3 linked regions of the Drosophila melanogaster genome follow. The protein of the gene in region 2 interacts with the protein of the main gene of each other region in a pairwise test. Each region holds a gene or a part of one and is shown on either strand. Other genes may lie near its edges.

Evidence for each region. The genes of interacting proteins can lie anywhere in the genome.
Region 1: the proteins of CG30427 (region 2) and CG12766 interact in a two-hybrid assay, tested with the Drosophila melanogaster proteins (one large-scale study listed by BioGRID).
Region 3: the proteins of CG30427 (region 2) and CG31523 interact in a two-hybrid assay, tested with the Drosophila melanogaster proteins (one large-scale study listed by BioGRID).

Annotation. Positions count from the first base shown.
Region 1 is NT_037436.4:3,936,044-3,941,694, forward strand, and holds CG12766 (uncharacterized protein), read right to left. Parts: upstream 4,083-5,651; 5' UTR 4,042-4,082; coding exon 3,964-4,041; intron 3,845-3,963; coding exon 3,677-3,844; intron 3,609-3,676; coding exon 3,436-3,608; intron 3,317-3,435; coding exon 3,172-3,316; intron 3,114-3,171; coding exon 2,916-3,113; intron 2,853-2,915; coding exon 2,652-2,852; 3' UTR 2,581-2,651; downstream 1-2,580. Other genes in the region: CG10866 (uncharacterized protein), read right to left, coding at 970-1,350, 1,410-1,703; CG10863 (uncharacterized protein), read right to left, coding at 5,070-5,261, 5,329-5,526, 5,583-5,651.
Region 2 is NT_033778.4:24,932,522-24,941,266, reverse strand, and holds the start of CG30427 (uncharacterized protein), read left to right. Parts: upstream 1-3,789; 5' UTR 3,790-3,963; intron 3,964-4,931; exon of another isoform or gene 4,932-5,038; intron 5,039-6,431; 5' UTR 6,432-6,435; coding exon 6,436-6,715; intron 6,716-6,783; coding exon 6,784-7,209; intron 7,210-8,572; coding exon of another isoform or gene 8,573-8,745. Other genes in the region: Tina-1 (troponin C-akin-1), read left to right, coding at 1-145, 213-381; CG2811 (uncharacterized protein), read left to right, coding at 873-1,195, 1,254-1,361, 1,413-1,455; CG3760 (uncharacterized protein), read right to left, coding at 1,739-1,996, 2,050-2,311, 2,425-2,507, 2,594-2,806.
Region 3 is NT_033777.3:4,474,128-4,480,984, forward strand, and holds the start of CG31523 (uncharacterized protein), read right to left. Parts: upstream 5,081-6,857; 5' UTR 4,935-5,080; exon of another isoform or gene 4,506-4,934; intron 1,300-4,505; exon of another isoform or gene 1,125-1,299; intron 1-1,124. Other genes in the region: sac (sterile affecting ciliogenesis), read left to right, coding at 6,692-6,857.

The DNA of each region.
Region 1 (5,651 bases), on a different chromosome or scaffold from region 2:
CATGTACGCCTTAGATCATTATTTCGCAATAAATCAGTTTTTTCTTTCAGTGTATGTCAAACAAATGTTGGGTCGTGGGTGTTGCCAACGGATTCAGCCGCTGTTATTGTTATTGTTGTTCGTGCCGCTGTTAATGGGCATGCGTGGGAAATTCTGGTACCGACAATACCCTAGAATATTTTCACTGTCTGATCGCACGTGTAACTTTAATTACCCAATTATTGACCCGCAAACACAGCGATTTTCCGCCGAAAAGCGTAGGAAAATTTCGAAAAACCAATGTTTTTTATTGGTTCCTTGCGAACTTTTTCGATCGAAATTGTGATTTATTTATAATGGCGAACATTTAAAATTAAATTCGTTTAAAAATAGCCCAAACGAATCGGTAAAATAAGCAGAAAAGTCGATTTATGACGGGATTCCTTCGCAGCCATGCCAGCCATTAGGGCCAATTTGTAAACGGCAACTAATTTGGCCCACAAATAAACAGCGAATAAAATAAAGGTGGGCCAAGTAAGCCAATGGGATTAATTGTGATTGCAAGGCTGATGTTGTAAGGCAATTAGATTGATTTTATTATTCGATTAGCTTAAAATTCGTATGGCCTACTAGTTACAAGAGTCAGAGTTGAAGTTGAAAATCGATTAGATATCGTTGTGCGCTATGCTCGTTACTCTAGTTTGTCTAAGGACTACATATCACATATCCGGATATTATCTGTATTCTAGTTAGATGCTAGTAAAAACCTACACGCTACTTAACAAAGAAAAATCAATTGGACGGGAAGCATAGTTCCCTCAAAAAGGTACTTCTAGTAGTAGATCCGTGTAAAATTGTGTCCTGTTGCGAGGAAGTATTTGGGTTTCTAGGCGATCTCTAATCTTAAAGCGCTTGAAGCTTGAAAAGCAATTTGCATTTACCATTTGATGATGTTTTGCAATATTATCACAAAGTGTTCCTACATATAGCCTAGACCTGCATGTAGCGATAGTTGGCAGTGGAGCCGCTGCGGTATTGGCCCTCGCTTAGCTTGACGTACTGCCCCAGGAAGTTAAGCACGGTTGCGCTGCGGCACACGTTGTGCAGGCAGCCCAGCAGATGGGGCGTCAGGATGGTGGTCAATATGTAGGCTAGCTGGGGCATCCTGTCCGTGTGACCTAGCGGGCACAGCCAGTAGCCCCGCCGCACGGCGTCCCTGGTGTGGTGTGTGATGAAGGCACAGAGTAGGGATCCCAGCATTAGGCTGGTCCGGAAATAGTTCAAACAGGCGGTGCACATGTAGAACAGCAGCATAACCACTATAATGCTGGAGCAGTGGAGGAAGGGCCTCTTCGACAGATTGGTGGCATCCTGCGTGCGAGTTGTGGGAACTTGGTTAGTTCGTTTTTCGTCTGGTTACTGCAACTCACCTCCAAATAAAGGGAACGAGCCTCCACAAAGTGGTCCAAGTCAATGAACGATGACACAACGAAGCAGGTGAAAATCAATATCCAGCCGAACAACTGCGAGGTGCGCTCGTAGAATTGTGTGGCGAACGTGATTCCCGTGAGTGCTCCAATGGCCGCATGGGTGGCATTGTCGGCCAGGGCCTTCAGCAATGGATGCTGGGTCAGCTCCACAAAGTTGTCCCCCAGCAGACACGTAATGGTCACCAAGGTTGTTAGCACAATTCGCATATAGACCATTGTGTGGCAGTGGGGCATCGATTTCTGGGAGAGTCTGCTCTACTTTTCCGGCTGGCTACGCTCTGGTTTTCGGCAATTGGACGGATTTACTTGCTTCCGCTGTGTGCACTTACTCCTCCTGCTGTTGCTGCTCCACGTAATCTTCGCTGCTGTAATGTCCACGTACTGCTGGCATCTTGTTTACCTGCAATTCGTCGTGTTCCCGGCGATTTGCAAGGATATTTGTTATGGATGTGCGCACATAAAAATATCACACAATATTTGGAAGAGTAAATAAATACTTATCGATATTGTTCGGCAACCGCTCTATCGATATTTCTTACAGCCAGCAAATATACTGTAATGCGTTACAAAATACCGCGAGATTGAAATTTAAAATATTCGCTGTAACATTTTTCTATTCATGACATTGATCATTTCAATTTTATTTTAAATGCAGCAGAGAAAAAGCTTTTAATGTTATTTACATTGGTAGATTTTAATACAAACATATTATTTCCTATTTTCACAGCTAGCTGGGTAAAACAATCGACTTCTTATATTTTTCTTATCGAGAACTTGACTTTCATAATGGATCCGCTACCCTATTTTCTATTATCTGTTCTATTGTGCATTATGATACGGGTACAACTTCGATTTAAATACAATCAAAAATAAAAGTTTTCACTTTTGTTGTAAAAGTATATCAGTTTTTAAATTTTTGCATTAAGAAATATATACATTCTCTAAGAAAAAACTGAATGACTGGAACAAAAAAGTGCCGCGCTGTTTGATTTATTAACCAATCCATGTGAATATCAATGGGAAGTACTTGTGATGATAAGGCCAAAAAAGACATATACAAAACACTTACGAAAAATACTTACCGATTGTAAATGACGTTAGAAATCTTCTTGCTTTTGGGCATTCCCTTACAAGGGTTACTATTTATTTATTAATCATAATAACTTAAATATATTTGTTGTATCAAAAACAAGCACTATACACGTTGAAGGGATAGTATTTACTCTTGATGGCTTGTCGGGCATGGGCAACACGTTCTCCATTGTGATACGAGTCCAAGATGGCATGATCTTCAGCATCCAGCTTGAAATCGAAGACATTGAAGTTCTCCTCAATGCGCTTGGGATTGGAGGACTTGGGCAGCGGGATGGTTCCCAGCTCAATCTGAAATTAGAATTCATCATGAGAAATCCGGTTCAACATAAGGCCTAAATCGAAAATCCTTACCACATATCGGATCACCACTTGGGCAATGGACTTATTGTACTTGTCTGCGATGGCCTGAACCTTGCCATCGTACATAAAGGTGGGCGTCCTCAACTCGGCATTGTGCCTGCCCAGTGGACTGAAGGCGGTCACCAGGATTCCATTCTTCTTGCACAGGGCAATCAGTTTCTTCTGATCCAACGCGGGGTGTACCTCAATCTGCAGAAAGAACAATATGAGTTGAGAAACTGGAGGGAACATCCTGTGACTAAGTTACTTGATTGTGGATTGGCTTGATCTTGCAGTTGGCCAACAGGCGCGTCAGTTGCTCCTCGTTGAAATTGGACACTCCGATGCTCTTGGTCAGGCCCAGGTCAACCAACTTCTCCATGGCGCCCCAAGTGTCCAGGTAATCAATGTCTCTGTAGTTTGAAGCAAGTAAACGGCATAGTAAGATTACTGATAATAGAAGGCGCATTTCACAATCACTTGTAAGTGCCAATCGATTCGAAATATTTCATATATTATTCATTTTACTCACACAAGTTCCACCTCTCCATTGGCATCTTTGGGAATCAGTTCGTTATCACCGCGATATTTATAGGAGAAAGGCCAGTGAATCAGATAGAGGTCAACATAATCCAGGCCAATATTCTTCAAGGTCTTTCGGCAGGCATACTCCACCCTTTCCGGTTCATGGAAATTGCACCAGAGCTGCGGAAATATGTGGCCACTTAAGGATTAGTTTATGATATGCCTGCTATAAGAACTTGCCAACTGACCTTGGTGGTGATGAATATGTCCTCCCGCTTGATGACGCCTTCGGCAATCTTCTTCCGAACCGCCGCACCCACTTCGGCCTCATTTCCGTAGAAGTAGGCGGTGTCTATGTGCCGGTAGCCCACATCAATCGCGTGGAGAACTGCCCGTTCGCAATCGCCTTCCGTCGACTGAAATCACAAGTCATCAATAACGTTAGCGGTTCTTCAAATGACGTTAACCCGGCTACTGATAGGCGACATTCCTGATCCGTATCGGATATGCTATGATCAACCAGTCAATGTCATACCGCGAAGGTGCCCAGTCCGATTCCCTGGATATGGGTTCCGTCGTTGTGCTTGAAGTAGTACTCCACTTTCCCGGTCATCTTCGCGGTTACAAAGTTGAACACTGAATGCTTGGGTTGCTCGCTTCACCTCTGTTATAAGGTTTTCGAATGGGCCCATAGAACCTTCAAAAGACCTTTTGCATTTGCAGATAAAACACGGCCAAGCTGGCAGAGAAACTTGGAAATAGTTTATAGAGACGCAAGGAGCGTAGGTTCTAAGTGTGCTAACCAATATATTAAATGCATTATTTTAATGTTTTAATAAGGATAAATTAAACACATATTTTTTATAAATGATCCAAACCAAATCATGTGTAAAATCCCATTTAAAAATATGTGGGAACACTTTTGAAAAACACTTATCGATAGCTTGATAGTTGAGTGGCGCGCAAAGCTGATTCGGTTAACTTTATCGCTAGTTTTGTTTATTTACCTATTACATGTGGGTTTGTTTATATTCTCTTCCCTTTTATAGCTTTTCATTTTTGCAATCTGCCTTGCAGTTGTGAATAATTGAATTCAGACAAGTGTTGGCGAAATTGTACTAGACCAAATGATTTTGATTAAGTGGAATTTTCCATGCCAAGCCCACACTAAAAACTAAATGATCGAGCAAAAGCTCTCTCTCAAATCATTAAATGTTCAGCAGTGGTGTCCAAAAAAGGGTATTGTTTAATTAAGATTATATGTATATAATCACAAAATGAATTCGTATTGTTTTCATAGATGACTTCAAATGTTTATTATATTTTATGCCCCTTTAAAATATTTGCCACACCCTTGACTGCAAATAAGAAACAGTTCAAGTGATAAGACTAAAATAGAAGAATTACGTACTATCAAAATGCTTAAAAGTAAAACTAATGCGATATTATGTAAAAAAAAAAAAATAAGTGTGCTTGTTATATAAAAATCTCCAAAATAAACATAAATATTTCAACATGAAAAAAGATCTCAAAAATAATTATTATTGGTGTTTATTTTTAAAAAACATATGTATATGTACACAAAATATCAGATTTAACAACCACTTTAATTAATATCAAACATTGCTCCTGCTTTCCAGCTCAAAACTCGATGTTAAATGGATAGTTCTTGCTTTTGATGGCGTGGGTCATGGGAATCAGACGTTCTCCGGTGTTGTAGGAATCCAGAATGGCATGATCCTCAGCATCCAGCTGGAAGTCGAAGATCTGGAAGTTCTCCTCGATGCGCTTGGGATTTGAGGACTTTGGCAATGGGATGGTTCCAATCTCAATCTATTTCGATAAACATTATGTTAATAAAGAGTTTTTGTTCTCATTAAACCTAGTTCGTAATCCCTACCAGATATCGGAGCACCACTTGGGCGGTGGACTTCTTGTACTTGTCTCCAATTGCCTGCACCTTGGCATCATAGATGTAGTTGGGCGTCTTTTCTGCTGGATTGGGTCTGCCCAGGGGACAGTAGGCGGTCACTACAATGTCATTCTTCTTGCACAGAGCAATCAATTTCTTCTGGTTCAACGCGGGATGACATTCGATCTGGAAAATGGTCTATTAGGAATATGAAACCCAAGGCATAACCACAATTGACGCACCTGATTGTGGATTGGCTTGATCTTGCAGTTGGCCAGCAAGCGAGTCAACTGTTCCGAGTTGAAATTGGA
Region 2 (8,745 bases):
TGAACAAGCCCGGAGTGGGATATTACGTAACAGGGGAGATCTACGAGGTGGACGATCGAATGCTGAATTCCCTGGACAACCTGGAGGATTGCGAGGAGATCTACACTCGCGAGATGCACGATATGAACATTGGCGTTGGAGAAGGGTGAGCATTAGTCGGATCTGACGTCATTTCAGCAATGTGGTGTGATGGGTCACAATTTCCTTTCCAGAACCGTTCCATGCTGGGTGTACCTGCTGCAGAAGTACCCGGAGAACCTACTTAGTCTGCGCTACTTGTCCAGCTACGAGAACTCAACCACCCATCCATACATTATGCGCCATCGCCGCACCCACAAGCATCCGGCCCAGGACGACCTCACCTACGAGGCCCAGAACTAATAACGTGGGTTGTGGTGTCGCCCGTTTGTTTGGATGTTCTCTGGATAGCCTGGCCACTAATCTTATGTTACCGTAGTTGCATTTTAAGACCGTACTTGCAGACGCAGATGTACTGATCGATATATACCCGTATATATGGGCAAACGATATAAACTGATACATATGTACCATACGCATTATTTAGGTTTTAGCAAACGTAGTCTGTAATTTGATAGTTTTCGACAAACAAAGCAAATAAACTGAAGCAATTTAAAATAAAATAAAATGCCCCTCGTTCTATTATAGAAGTAAAGATGCTGGACAGCAGTCCCTGGTAATTTTCCACAGCCCAGTGCCGAGGGCTTCAGTTTCTCGCGGTGTACGGAGGCTAGATTCGGTGCGAATGGCAGCAAGAAGAAGAGCGGACGGGTTATGTCGACTGCGCAATCTACAGGTCGGATTTGATAGCACGATACCGCTTGAAACTGATAAGCCTGGCGGCGGGAAGCGCAATGGCTGAAAAGCTGAGAATGGCGGCAAGGGTCTTTGTGTATGGCACGTTGAAGCGCGGTGAGCCCAATCACCACTGGCTGACGAAAAAGGAGAACGGCCAAGCCCGATTCCTTGGAAGGGGGAAAACGGAAACGAAGTTTCCCCTGGTTGTCGGAACCCGCTACAACATCCCATTTCTGCTCGCCCGCCCGGGTGAGGGGAACCACATAGAAGGCGAAGTCTACGAAGTGGACGAGACCATGCTCTCCAAACTGGACATACTAGAAGACTACCCGGACTACTATGATCGCGAGCAACAAACCATATTAATGGAACAGAATGAGTATGAGGGTGTGGGGTGATGGCCAGATGTAATAACTCACTATTGCCCCTATGTCTAGAACCATTCAGTGCTGGCTGTACCTGATTCGCAACTTCCCAGACAAGATGCTGGCCAAGGAGCTGCTGATCTCGTACCACAACACGCCGGAGAGGCCGTACAATGAAAAGTCAGTACGCACTGTTTCAGCCAGAGATGATCTTTCTTACTGATTTTGCAGCTACTTGGACAGCTGCCCGGAAGACCTCGCCATGGAAAAGTGAGAAACGGAAACGTATAAAAAAGTAACGTTTATAAACGGATTTCAACGCATGGGTATTATTCGTATTGTATTACATTAATCCATTTTTCAAAATGCAAAACGAAATGAACAATAGTAGTTTGTGGTTTAGGGTAAGAGTAGCAGTGGTGGTTTATATGAATCAAAAAGCCTAGAAAATCTGCATGTGCTGGCATAGAACCTTTGGATGGCTTGAGCTCGGCAGCGGACACTGTGGTAGATAGCGGTTCAAGTGGCCAGCAACAGCACCGTTGGCGTGGGCTGACCTAGCTTGCTTCGTCGTCAAGCGACTGGAATCGGTTGGAGGCCGCCACCGGGGCAGCCGTGGACTCCTGAACACGCTGGAAACGGCTTCCGTGACGGACTTCTTCGAAGGCGGGTTCGTTTTTCTTCTTGCGCTGTTCCTCCGGACGCGCCGCACTTAAGGTTGGGAAAAACTCGGTATTGGTGATGTCGGGGGCGGCGCGTCGTGGACGCAATGCCCCCCCAGTAGGGCCGCCTCCCAGTCCACTTCCGGCCTGCTGCTGCAGAGAAGTTGATTAAACTCGATCTGGATCGTCTCGCTCTTCTTACTTACGCTGTATCGTAGCGCGGGTGAAACGTAGGTCTTGGACGAGTGCTTTTCCACCTCCACGGGCACCGGAATCTGCATTACCTCCTCGGCTGGGACAACTTTCTTCCAGGGTCCGTGGCCGACGCGCTCCTTGTTTACGTCCGCGTTGTCATACCCATTGCTGTCCTCATCGTCCTCATTGTAGTTGCCGCCGTCCGGGGCAGAGGGCACTCGAGCAGCTTGCGACTCGGAACTTTCCTGGGCAGTTCTGGAACGGGCCGAAGAGCTATAGAAAGCGAGTTTTCGCAATATGCGGGGTCAAATGGAAAGTAAATCAATGGAAGTGGCCTTTTCTCCTGCTCATGGATTAGGCGGTCGGCGTAACGTTCGAAAACTCACATGGTGCTCAGCTGGCCGATCTTTAAGCCACTGTAGTCCTTGCGCTGCTCCTCCTCGAACTCCTTCCATTCCTCCTCGACGGGCTACGGAGCGGCAAAACAATGAACTTATAAACATGCCCTAGGTGGCCAACGGGCGCTGATTTCACCAGACTGAGATTCGGACTCACCGGGGCGGACTCTGGCACCTTGGTGCCGCTATTCTCGTTTTCGCCTACTACTGCCACGCCGCCAGCGGCTACCTCAGGTTTTTTGGGCTTGACCACCTCGCGCTTGGTGCCGTCCTCCAGGTTCTTCACCATCTCGTCGGCGGTCACGAACTTAGTCTTGTTCTTGGACTTCTTCTTGTCCTTTTTCGCGAAGAAATCGTCCAGTTCGGCCATGGCTTGTAATTAATTATAAATGAATAAAATTCGCGACAGGAAATTTGGAGAACAACTCTGCACGCCTTTTGTGCCAGATGTATCGATAAGCCGGCCAGGGCTGGAGATTCCTGGAAATTCGCAGCGAGATTACAAATTGTCGATTTAATTTCACTATGCAATTTACATAATGCACGCTTTTTTTCATACCTGGAATTAACTGATGGTTTATTATAACTAATCAGTTTAAGCAACTCTGACAGCACTACCTTAGCAGGACAAGTATCCATATATCATCTGCATGATATCGATATTTTCAACTTTGGCGGCCTTTTTGAAACCATCAGTTGGGACTGGAAGACACAAACATATTATTTTTTTGCAACAAAATTGGTAACATGCATAATTTAGCGTGTGCAAAAATCACAGGAAAGACTGCACTAATTACCAATATTCGCGACATTGGGCAACAATAGATTTGCATAGGAGATTGATAACCACCTAATTAAGGCAAACAAAGTGGAAACCACCGCCGCGGTGGCTGCGAATGCAAAGCTGGACCATTGTGTAATGGAAACCAATTCGATCCGTTGCTAATTTTGCATCCATAATGATGCCAATATATCTTATTCGCTGAAAAGCAGCAAAGTCAATAAAACTCGTCCAAATGGCAAAGTTAATGTTTCCCAAAATATGCCAAAGAGTTCCTGGGCCTGGGACTTGCATCTTGTGGTACCCAGCAGTCCCGCCCATGTAGTCAAAAGTCAACTACTTGGCCCATCACTTGGACCCAGCCTAAGCCTCTTAGGCCAGACGGCCAGTTCCGCCTAGATTAGCCGAGCTAATAGATATTTATGTCTGTACCAACACCTGCCGAATACCTACCACAGTACGGCGTGCAGCCAGGCCAGTGGTTTTGCTTCGTTTCGGCATGGTTTGCAACATCCCAAAGCACTGCTAGTCCACTCCACAACGTATTCATATTGACAACCACCGGGCTGGTCGCGTTCAGTCTTCTTTCGAGCTTCGCAGCGTCCACACCGCTCCCTCCACTACTCGATTCGATCCGAACTAGTACGCTCCGAACCGATATAGTCTCGCATTAATTCGCGTGTGCGAGAGTTTGATACCAATATTGCAAGTGTTTTAATTGAGGAGAATACCAAGCAATACTCAAGGTAATTGAAACACTTAGTAGCCCCAAAATAGTTTCGGCTTGCAATCTAGCACTCCGCCGACCTCATCTCGAGCTGCGATTCCTCCTTGTGATTACCGCATTGTAAAGACAATGCTGCTTATTTTTCGGGGCTATTAGGCTGCAATTCGAGGCATTTGCCAGCCCAGCGAAGCGTTTAATTGACGATTACAAAGGTAGGCCCCTCTGCCCTACTGAGTTTGATTTCGAGATACGCTCGTGAACCCCCGTCTATGTCAGGGTCGTGTCATGACCTGTCGCAAAGTCTGATATTTCGATATTCCACATTTTCCGCTTTGAGTTCCGTGGCCCTTTGCATATATTTGAACCTCGGCTTGCGGCTTGCTGCTAATTTTATGTGTCGGGGTTTCATCTCATTTGTATCAATGCTGATCCAATACAAAAGCCATTTACATATTGAGGGGGATTTTTATTTAAATATATCGTGAGACTACGTGAGCAAAGGCCAAATGGGAAATGGAATGGAAGAATTGCCAAACATTTAAAATTTGTTCGATTTCATGGTTTAATGTCTCAGCCTCAAGTGGCTTTCTTAATGATCCTCCACACAGCCACATCCGCAGCTCTTCTCCGTATTCGAGCTTACGTTGCCTTAGAAAAGGGGTCATTGGTACAGCGCAGTCAGTCAATCAGTCACTGCGCTCCAATGGGTTTATTAACTGCAGACCGATTGCAGGCTGCACTTTGCATTGGAAAATTTTAATGGCCCCATCATCGGTAGCCAGTTCTGAGGTCGCAATCGAGTTGTAACCACACAATATTACTTAGGCTAAAAAGCAGCAATATGTAAACAAGAGGAACACACAATCGATAAACACAACCACATACAAGCTAATTAAAGATTCCAAAATGTTTCTACTTACAAGCGATATACGATATACCGGTTTTGGCTCTAATAAAAATATGACAAACGAAGGAGAGAAACAAATATCATAAGATAAAAGACTCTTTATCGTTTATCGACGTTTCAAATAGGGTCAATTTGCGTTTGCGTAATATCAAAGAGCTTAAAAACACTCTTGCCAATTGTGGGGAGGGTAAGTTTAAAATGGTATAAAAACATTTCGGATTTGAATTTATCGATTTCGACGTAATTTTTGCAAGTCGTTCCGCTACATCAATATGCTTATGAACAAAATACATAGATGGTAAAATCTCAAACAAATTTCTTGAATTCCATTATCTTCGTGATGCTCCGTTGTTAAAACTATGCACACATTGTTCTTTCATTAGAAATCACAAATATGTTATGTTATTTTAGTTGTCTATCAGTATTTTGCATTAGTTACTGTTTTCTGACTCGTCTCTTTCTCGCTCGTCCGCCCCAATTGGGATCAAGTTTGTGGCCTAAGTCTTTCGTTTACAAAATGAAGCTCCGTTGTTTTAGGTTCAGTTTTAATAAATACGTTTGTCTGTAATGCTCATAACTTCGGGTTTGACAACTTGGGTCGACCGAAATTTGTCTCAATGTGTGTATTTCGAGGCTTGCATAAGTGCAAGCACTCTGAAGTTGTTTCTCGGGCTGTGGCTCTCGTTGGTTTCACACATTCGGCGGACGCGTTTTAATTGGCCATAAAGCCGAAAACTGGGGCTCAGTAACAAGCCCCTAAAGGCAGGTGCCGCGAGGCGAGATGAAGGAGAACCGCAGTGATCTAAGTGAAGTGATCCCAGAAACAGATCCAACCACATAGATTTCAGCTTGTAGTTCAAGGTGCAGTGGGGCTGCTGCGTCATGCTTCCTGCGATTTCCATCTTTTCCAGCTTTGCTCTGCTGGAGGAGGTAAACACTCGTTGCCGGAGATACAGTATTGGACATGCATACGCTTGGGCGGGGTGTGACCACAATCGAGCTGCAATAAATAGGTAAACAAGTACGTCCGCTCGGTCTTGCGTGAAATGTCATGACATGCCCAAAGTGCAAGGCACAGGCACAATCCACAATTCGAGATTGCCGAGCAGATGTGGCCAACTGTAACGCGGCTGCAATCCAACCCAGCCGCATGCAGATTGAGAAACAAATACTTGCAACAATCCCCGTCGGAGGGGGAGATATAAAGACAACCTGGCACGCTAGACGGGTTCGATGCCAGCTACCCCTGGTAATTGCATAAGCCAGCAAAGAAATGCGAATCCACAGGCGCAATCGAAAATCCAAATAGAAACCGAAAGTCCACTAGAAACCCGTTTGCGGCAGGTTCAGCTCACTGGTTGCTGCTGTGTGTTGGCTGCTTCCAAGTCGAACACCAGATGTGGTAAGAGGGGCACGCGTGGCCAGAATTAGCCCCAGTTTTTCCAGCACCACTTGCGCCATTCGCTTGCCAATCACTAGTTTTTCCTTTGACTGGTTTTCGCATTCCCGGAATGCTTCTTGCGTCACTCCATTTCCATTCCCATTCCCAGAAGGTGTGCTAATACACCTCTTTCTTGCAGAAAGATGACGGTGGATCTATCGCCAGTGCAGGAATACTATAAGGATAAGACGATATTCATCACTGGAGCGTCTGGGTTCATGGGCAAGGTTCTGCTGGAGAAGTTGCTCTACTCCTGCCACTCCCTCAAGGAGGTGATCATCATCTGCCGCCCGAAGCGCGGCAAGGCACCCGAGACGCGTCTCGAGGAGATGTTCAAGCTGCCCATCTTCCAGCGCATCAAGGACGAGCGCCCGGAGATGCTCAAGAGGGTTACCATCTACCAGGGCGACGTCACCTTCGACCGTAAGTGTAGCGCTTAAGTTCCGCACTTTAATCTCGATTGATTTGCATTTCCTGCCCTTCATTTGTAGAGCTCGGGCTCAGCGGGGAGAGCTTGAAGCACGTGACCGAGAACACTAACATTGTTTTCCACATGGCGGCCACCCTTAAGCTGGAGGGCAACCTTCGGGACGCCATCGATATGAACTTGCTAGGCACCCGGCGAGCGCTCAACGTGGCCAAGGAAATGAAGCAGCTGGAGGCCTTCATCCACTTGTCCACGGCTTTTTGCAACTGCGACCAGGATGTGATGTATGAGAAGGTGTACGAGTTTCCACACAAGCCGGAGGATCTTATGCGCCTGGCCGAGTGGATGGACGTGAAGACCCTGGACGCCATTACGCCGGATTTGCTAAAGCCGCACCCCAACACATACACCTACTCAAAGCGTCTGGCGGAGCTTCTGGTGCGCGACCACTACGAGTCCATGCCCGTCATCATCGCACGTCCCAGCATCGGTAAGTGACCTTTTAAGTACGGATGCCACCTCGCTGTTGCCTATCCGCGTCGCTTTGGCCTGCGGCGAATCGATTTATCAGAGTCGTTAATTCTCTATGTCTCTGGACGGGATTGCTTGCTTGCTTGGTAGCCAGCTGCGCTGGAAGCGAAATTGAGTCTGCAATTGCCAGTCGCCAGTTCCCCTCTAACTAATACCTAATAATGCGCCTCCGCTTCTGCCGCCTTAAGTCTATGTCTATGTCTGTGTCTGTGTCTATGTTGCCCTGGCTTGCTTATTATTTATATCTTTTTCGGCCACCTGGCGTCTTTGTTGGACGTCTCTGCCTGGAATGTACGATCTGTCTGCGCTGGCAGTCAATTAAAGTTTTCTATTAGCAGTTTTTGGCCAACCTGAGAGGGCGTTATTCATGGGAGGTGGAGAAACTATTGGGCAGAAACCAGTCCGACCATATTGATGCAAATCTCCAAAATCAAACACTAAGCCGAGTGGTAATTTGATATGAAAGTATACTTTAATCGAATCTTTTATTTTTATACTGCCCAGATAAGGTTAGGAAAATGTTTGTGAATAGGTATTTCCGATGGCAGCTCCCCTCAAACTTATTTAATGATAGGCTAGCTGAATGCTGAAATCGATAGGAGTGGATGAATATTTCATTTGTAACCGGGAGGGTTCAAGGCAAGGGTGACCTGCTTAGCTGGGCAAATAGCCCATGGATACACCCAATATGGACGGGTTACGTCCTCGTTTGCTAACTAGCGAGCAAAGTTCGGCAGAGTTCGCCGATTTTAGCAGATCTTCAGAGACATTAGCAGATGATAATGAATGTACTTGTTGGGTATGGGGTTGCTTTGGTGCTAGTCTTAAGCCGCTTCTTGCCACCTACCGCTAATTCGTCAAGTGTTTACGCTTTCCGTGTGTTTTATGACATCGCCACTGGTTGATCTCATGTCCTCCTATCCGGCGCGGGCTCCCCGCTTGACTCTTCTGCTGCCGCGCTTCTTAATACGTACACCGCACATGAACCACAGCAGCAGCAATACAGGTCTGAGCAACCACAAACTGCCAACAGACACCACCACAATCACAGCGCTTGAAAAGAAAGAGCCCGATTACATGACATGGTGTACAGCATTGCTTAAAACAATAAACTACCTCAACCACTGCACACAAATGCCGTCGTCATTGACCAAAAAGTTCAATGAGCATGCAATGAAAACAAAGAAGACAGAAACGCCCCGCTTTACCCTTCCTCTGCCTCCGCCTCCGCCTCCGCCCTCGCATCCGCATCCGCATCAGCCTGATCCCAAGAACGTCTGGGAGGAGGAGTCCCAATTTGAACTCATCTCCCGCACGCCCAGTGTCGCCGTCGGCGTACGAGCCCGTCCCGGGATGGGTGGACAACCTTAACGGACCCACCGGGCTGATGGTGGGCGCCGGCAAAGGTGTCATCCGATCGATGCTGATTGACACGCGCCACCTGTCCGAGGTTATTCCGGTGGACTACGCCATCAACGGTCTGTGCGTGATCCCC
Region 3 (6,857 bases), on a different chromosome or scaffold from region 2:
AAGAAAAAAATAAAATTTTGTTGACTCTTTCACCATAATTTTGATGAAAGAACGGTGAATGTTTAAAGACAAATTTAATTAATTTGAACTGATTAATAAGCTGGGGAGGGCAATACTTCCCACAATAATATTTGGAAAGTTGTACTACATTTTTTTTACTACATTTTTGCCTCTCCGAAACAAAACGTATTTTTATGTGCTGAGCAAGCAGTTTCATGTAGAAACTTTAGTCATTCCACTTAGTAAAAATTAAAAATTTCAAAGGAACTAGATAGATAAATATCCTTCACATATAGCATTTCGAAATTCTATTTTTTCAATAGTTTTGGTCAAAAGATTTTTAATCAACAATACATTTTTTATACTTCTTTAAGACACGCATTGACTCGTTGCAAATTTTTCTACTGTAGCGCATATGGTTTCAAAATTGAAGTGTACTGATGCTCTACAAAAGGTATTGTATTTTTTAAAAATAATTAAATATATAAAATATATACAAATAAAATAACTGCTGACGTTCACACGCTGAACATAAAATCTGATTCTTCTGTGAAGATTTTACCAGTCGACATTATTTAATTAAACAAATAATCTTTAGAAAGGGTAAATTTTGTATAATATACTTTCATTGTCAAATGAAAAATCTTTTTTTTTTGACAATTACTTTCTGCGTAACATTCGTTTAGCAATTTTTCGTAGGTTAAGGGTGGACTATATTTGTATTTATATATTTAGAACGTCGAAGGGATTTCTTCGGTATGCCAAAAACTTTTCAAAACTGAATCATCAAGAATTTTGTGAATGTATTTGAAATCGTTTTATATTATCATTTGTCTTGCTTATTTCTATCTGATAGGCGATTAGCTCCCTTATTATTTTTTTCTGTTCTCGTTAAATTTACCAGCTATATATAAAACCTAATCAAAAATATGGGGTTAAAGGGAGAAATGAAGAAAATCGTAACTATAAGTTAGCTGCCTTATAAGCGGTTGGCTGGAGCCAGAAACAGTGCTATCGGCATTAATTAATTGGGGGTTAAAGTCCTTCCATATTGTGATATTGTGCGGAGATAGATTGCGATATCTGTTTCGTTTTGCGAATTTTATAAGTATTTTCTTAGATACCTTAGATACCTGGGTTTTGTTGTTTTGTTTTCTGTTTGTTTTGTATATCGTAATATTGTATTTGCGAAGGTGTTATTATCTTCCGTCCTCGTTGTTAAAAAATAAATATTAATTTATTTAAATGACGAAATTTCGAAAATCGCGGCGATGCTTTTTGAATTGTGTGAGTGCTCGTCTTGAAAATATCGAGTCAGGCCACACAAGACACTTGGGATTCCGATCTCCTCGCAAGCAAATAAAGGCGGCGGCCCTCGATCACTGGCTTGGATCGCCAGAAGCGTGGTCGGATATATTGAAACGAAAGCGCAAGTGAATCGCGCGGACCGCTCCCACCTGACGACCTCAGGTCGGCTGGCCGATTAATGTGTGTGCACTTGTAATTTGTTTGGCTGCTCGGGAAGGTCAGACCCCACGGAAAACCGACCGAGCTGCTGAAACACACGATGAAAGTTTCCATCGCAGGGCCGCACTGCATTAATGGCATTTAAATACATCGATGTGTAATTATGCACATGCATAGTTCCCAAAGCATAGGTTACGGGTGTCAGGAATGGAGGTTTTGTTTATTGTTTTATTGCGACTCTGCCTCGGGCATTCTAAATTGAGGAGAAGCCGCTGAGATCGAGGGGTCGACTTACATAACACTGGCGTGGTAAGTTTTCCAAAAATACGTAAAACCCGACAAAAACAATGAAAGAAAAAACAAAAAACAAAAAACGCACAAAGAAAGGCTGGGGAAAATGAGAGAGAGACAACAGCAAGCGACAGAGAAAAACTGTCCGAATCTTTGGGTAAATGAAATTAATGTGCGAAATGTATACGAGTAGGTCCCGTCAATGTCGAAAAAAGAAACGGGAAAGAAAGCCGGCTTCGACTAGCCGAAGTTTGTGTACCCTTGCAGACGGTCAATGGGTATCTATCGGTAATATTGTAATATTAATGATGTTATTTGCTGGAAAGGTGAGTACATGGTACTTATAGCTTTTTACTTCTTTTTAAATAACATATATAGTTACATTTACCAAAAGATATCAAAGTGCTCTTTTATTTCGAAAATTCGTATGCATTGCATCTCTTCTACAATATTTTGTTTAACCATGCAGGATAAAGGCGATTTACCATTTTGAGGTAAATTCTTAGAGCACCATTACTCGTAAAGTATAGCCTAGTAGATTCGTTGGGAAGTATGTATGTAACACTTCTATCGATATGCCAAAATAATATTAAAGATTCTCGCTTAAACATCTACTAGCTGACTAACAGGCAAGGAACTCGACCATACAGTTCTCATTTGGTATTTAAATATAATTCATAAGATATCATTATTAGGCAAAGGCTGTATAAACTAATAACTGTAAAAATAATACTTTTAAAATTAAATACTGGCTGCATTGCCAGACATCACAGTCGCTAGTCAACTTTTCCCTTTGGAATTATAATCCTTATATTGGCGTATTATGATCATTATATATTTCAAGATATAGGTTATATCGACCGCTATATCAAATCTTTTGTTACTTAAGGGCTCTGGAGCCTAAGTATGCCAAAAGCATTTAATAAACTTTTATCATAGACTTGCCTCCTAACCGAACGATAGCTGGATTCGCATTACCATCATGAATTGGATCTGTCCATCTCACCGCCGATAACGGCACATTTGTCTTTATAGCACCGCAACAGGTGGTGAGGCTAGTTCTCTTGACTCTGACGATGCTGTCACTGTCCATCGAATGATTATGCCCACGATGTGTTAACCCCGAATGGTACGAAGATCGTGGCCAAGCATCTCAGTCTCAGACGAGAGTCTCAGGGGCCAGAGAACCCGTACGATGTCATTGTTCTTTTCTTTCTCCATAGGACAAACCGGTTAAAAAACTTTCCTCATAATAGCAGAGCCCAAAAGTGCTTATTAAGCATGCGCTGCCAAAACACATATTAGCGAGCACCTATGTACATATAAACCAGAGGACTAATACATGCGATCTCTATAACCAAGATCTCATGGACTTTGGCCGAATTTTTATGTTGGCCCGAATAATTTCAGATTGCTTGTGGGTGTGACTGATACAGCCAGCCGATTGTATAGCTCCTCTCTTCTGAGAAAATCGAAGCCCGGCAATGAGACACAATCTTGAGATTTGCCGTGTAAACGCGAATGAATATTTGGATTTGATGTGTTTTCTGAGCAATCTAAGCAGATAATGTGTTTACTGAGTCTAAGCCAGTCGCGCCAGCCAAATAACTATACGCGAGGGCCAAGGTGCAAAGCGATCAATTAGCACTTTAGCACTGCATTGTTGCAATCTATTTGCGAAAGCCCTTGACTCTACGTAGCTCCAGGTTCGCTTTTCTGACCACCGGCCAGCGGTAATTGATGCCGCACCACATTCTCCAGGTGATACATACATATGCATACATACATACATACATACACACATACACACATACATAAATTTCTGATCGAAGTATTTAGCGCACTCGTTGGCTGACCCTAAAAACCTGAAAAAATGCGAATGCAACTACATTTCTCGACGTTTCCGCATTCGGCGGACAGGTGAAACTTTTTGATTGACTGACATAGGCGGCACACCACTGCACTCCTTACCCAACAAAGGTACACAGTAGACAATGAAGACAGCGAAATGCGTTCGGCTATTTAATACTATTTAAAGTCAGTTCTCAGGATAAGGAATTAGCTGCTATACCTAAGCTGCTGCTAAAATACTTCTCATACGGAAGAAGTTGTACCACTAAAAAGAAGAAATATTCTATGTATTCGAAGTAGCATAGAAGTACCTACTGCTAATACCCGCATTCCTCAAATAATGAATTTTTTTATCTCGATTGGGAAACAATGGTCAACAATATAATTTCCATTGTTATCAACAAAATTTACTTAATATAAAATTGTATTGAATAAGTGATTCATGAATTACAGTTGTAGACCGAAAGGGTCAATTGTTTTTTACACTTCATAGAACCAGATTAATCCAATAAACAATATTTAATTCATTAAAGTACGAATAGGTTACCAGAGAATCTATGAAAACAAGTCTGGGCAATCCTTTGGAATAATAATTCATCCCTCTCACGAAGGGCACCCACGCCCCTGTGCGCTCTCTCTTAGCCACCGACACGTGTGAGCTCTTTTGCTCTTTTAGTTGGCTGTTGCTTCACGGCGACTCTCTTCGGCATCGCCTACTGACGCTGCCGCTGCGAATGGGCGTGGCGGGAAGCAGAGCAAGAAACAGTGGACTACCGCCACTTTTTTAATTAAACCATGAACAAACAGGCAATGGCGGTGATGACTAATATCACCGAATCGCAAGGCGAGGGTGGGGAGCAGCTGGAAAATGCTTTCGCGGCTGTGGCGATACTCACCTGCGAGGTATGGTGTGGAAGGGGGGGGGGGGGGTCGAGCGGCGATTGGAATGGAAGAGGAATCCCGAGTGCACACACACAAATGCACTTGTGCACGGCCACAAATACACACTCGCGAAGGAGAACGAACGCAAGTGTAAAGGGCCCGCGCTTTTGGGAATTGAACAATCGACTAGTTTCAGCTTGGGCTGGCTGCCGATGCTTTTGATACTGAAACTTCGATACCGCGGGCTGCGATGCCGATGGCTATGGCGATGGCTACAAACAACAGCAACGCCAACAAAAGACACACACAAACACCGCGTTGGATCTCACCGCACATAAAATATATCCGACAACATATCGTAACGGACTTCACCATGCAGAAAATGCGATCTAGCCCAATAAAACTATATGCGCTTCCAAAAAAATATATTAATATCGAATTACTTCTTAGTCAACTAGCCATATCTTTCGGATTTCTTGGGAAACGACGACGCGAGTGAAATCGTTCAGCAACAAAGAGAGCGCGTTTTGCCAGTCGCTTAAATATATTTTTGTACAAAACGGTCTCGCAACTTCGAACATGTTAGATTGGGTTGGCAGCAACTAAGCAGAATGTTGGCACGAGTGTTGCCGTTTTAGCATTTTTAAAGCTCGACTTAGGTTATTTGAAGCCCGCAAGGACTGTGATAGGGATTACAGATTAAATAATATTGTGCGTAAAATCTTTGTGATTTGATAACCTGCATAGAAGGTACCAAGGAAACAGAAAAATAATATGGATCGTCGCGACTATACCCGTATACCCTCAGCCAAATGAAATGCAAAAGCATAAATTGACTGCGAGGGGAATACTTTTCACAGGCCGTTAATATTCTTTGAACTTGTAGTTAACTTTAAATAAAGGTTTCTGTGGCAGGATTGTAATTTTTGGCATGTTTAATTCTACACTAAATTAACTATTTGATTTATTTGATTTCTTTACCAAATAATTTGAGCTAGACATAATCTAGTTCTGGCTGTTCCGTTTCTAGATAATCTAGATCTGGCTATGGAAAATCTAAAAAGGCTGAACTGAGACGAGGCAAAATGATCTTTGTGGATTCCGTTCCGGAAAGAGTGACCGAATTTCGAGAATTCGGTACTTATCGATATTATCGGAACCCATTATTTAGCATTGTCATCATAAAAACGATATTTAGAGAATGTAGAATGTTAAATGTTTTTTAATATTTCTTGTAATCAAAACAAGATCGAGTTCCCCTACTTTAAAAGTCCTGTTACTCAAGTCGTATACTAAGTGCGAATGAGAAATTCCAACATTCTTTTAGCAGATCGAAGGAAATTTAAAAAACAAAATAAACTATTTAAAAAATTTTTCAAAAGCGTGGGAGTTTTGGGCGGTTTGTTGGTGTTATAAGGGACGAAAAACAGACAAAAGTCAGAGGGTTCCTCGACTTTGCGAGCGAGATGTTGCAAAATGGTATATCTATAGAAATTCGCATTACTGCGAGCGAGATGTTGCAAAATGGTATATCTATAGAAATTCGCATTACAATCAAATTACTTTGTAATTGTGACAGTGAAAGTCTCGTGAAGTCTTGCGTGTTAGCGTCGTAGTTTGGGGCGGCTTGTTGGCCTGTTCAAGAATATTATATTTTATAGAGTCGGAAATGCTTCTTTTTACCTTTATCGAATTTAGTAAAACCTTTTACGGCAAAAAAAATAATTCTCATAAAAGTGCGCTAAATAATAAAAAATGAATAAACAACAACGGAAGCTTGAAATTGAAATTAAAGATTGTTCAAAATTAAAAAAATGTAGTAAAAAATGTATACCAAATTAAACGACCAAATTTTACATTCGATTGTTCATATGGCTATTTCGACTCGGTTGTTCATACTGATCAAGAAAGTATAAAGTGAGCTTTATATGGTCGCAAATGCCTCATTCACTGCGATGCAAACACCTTACTGAAGTCAATGTATCCTTTTGGAAATAAAATAGTTTACATATAATTTAATAAAAATATTAAATATTGCTGAGACCGCCATATTCACATTAATTTTATAAAATCGAATTTTTTGGTTTAATTTGACTAAACAGCAGTAATTAATGCTCGGGCTTTGTAACAATCAACAAATACACTGCTTTGAAAGGAACGCCACTTTCTCATTTAAATCCACTTTAACAATATATTTCATATGGATCCGGAGAACTTAGAGGTGGGACAAAATTATGAAGGTTCCCAGGAATTCGATGAGAGCAGCACCAGCTCAATTAGCAACAAGGGCCCGGATGACAGTCAATTCAAGCGTGAGGCTGAGAAAGCTATTTGCATCATGCCGCCCCGACCGGGAACGACTATGA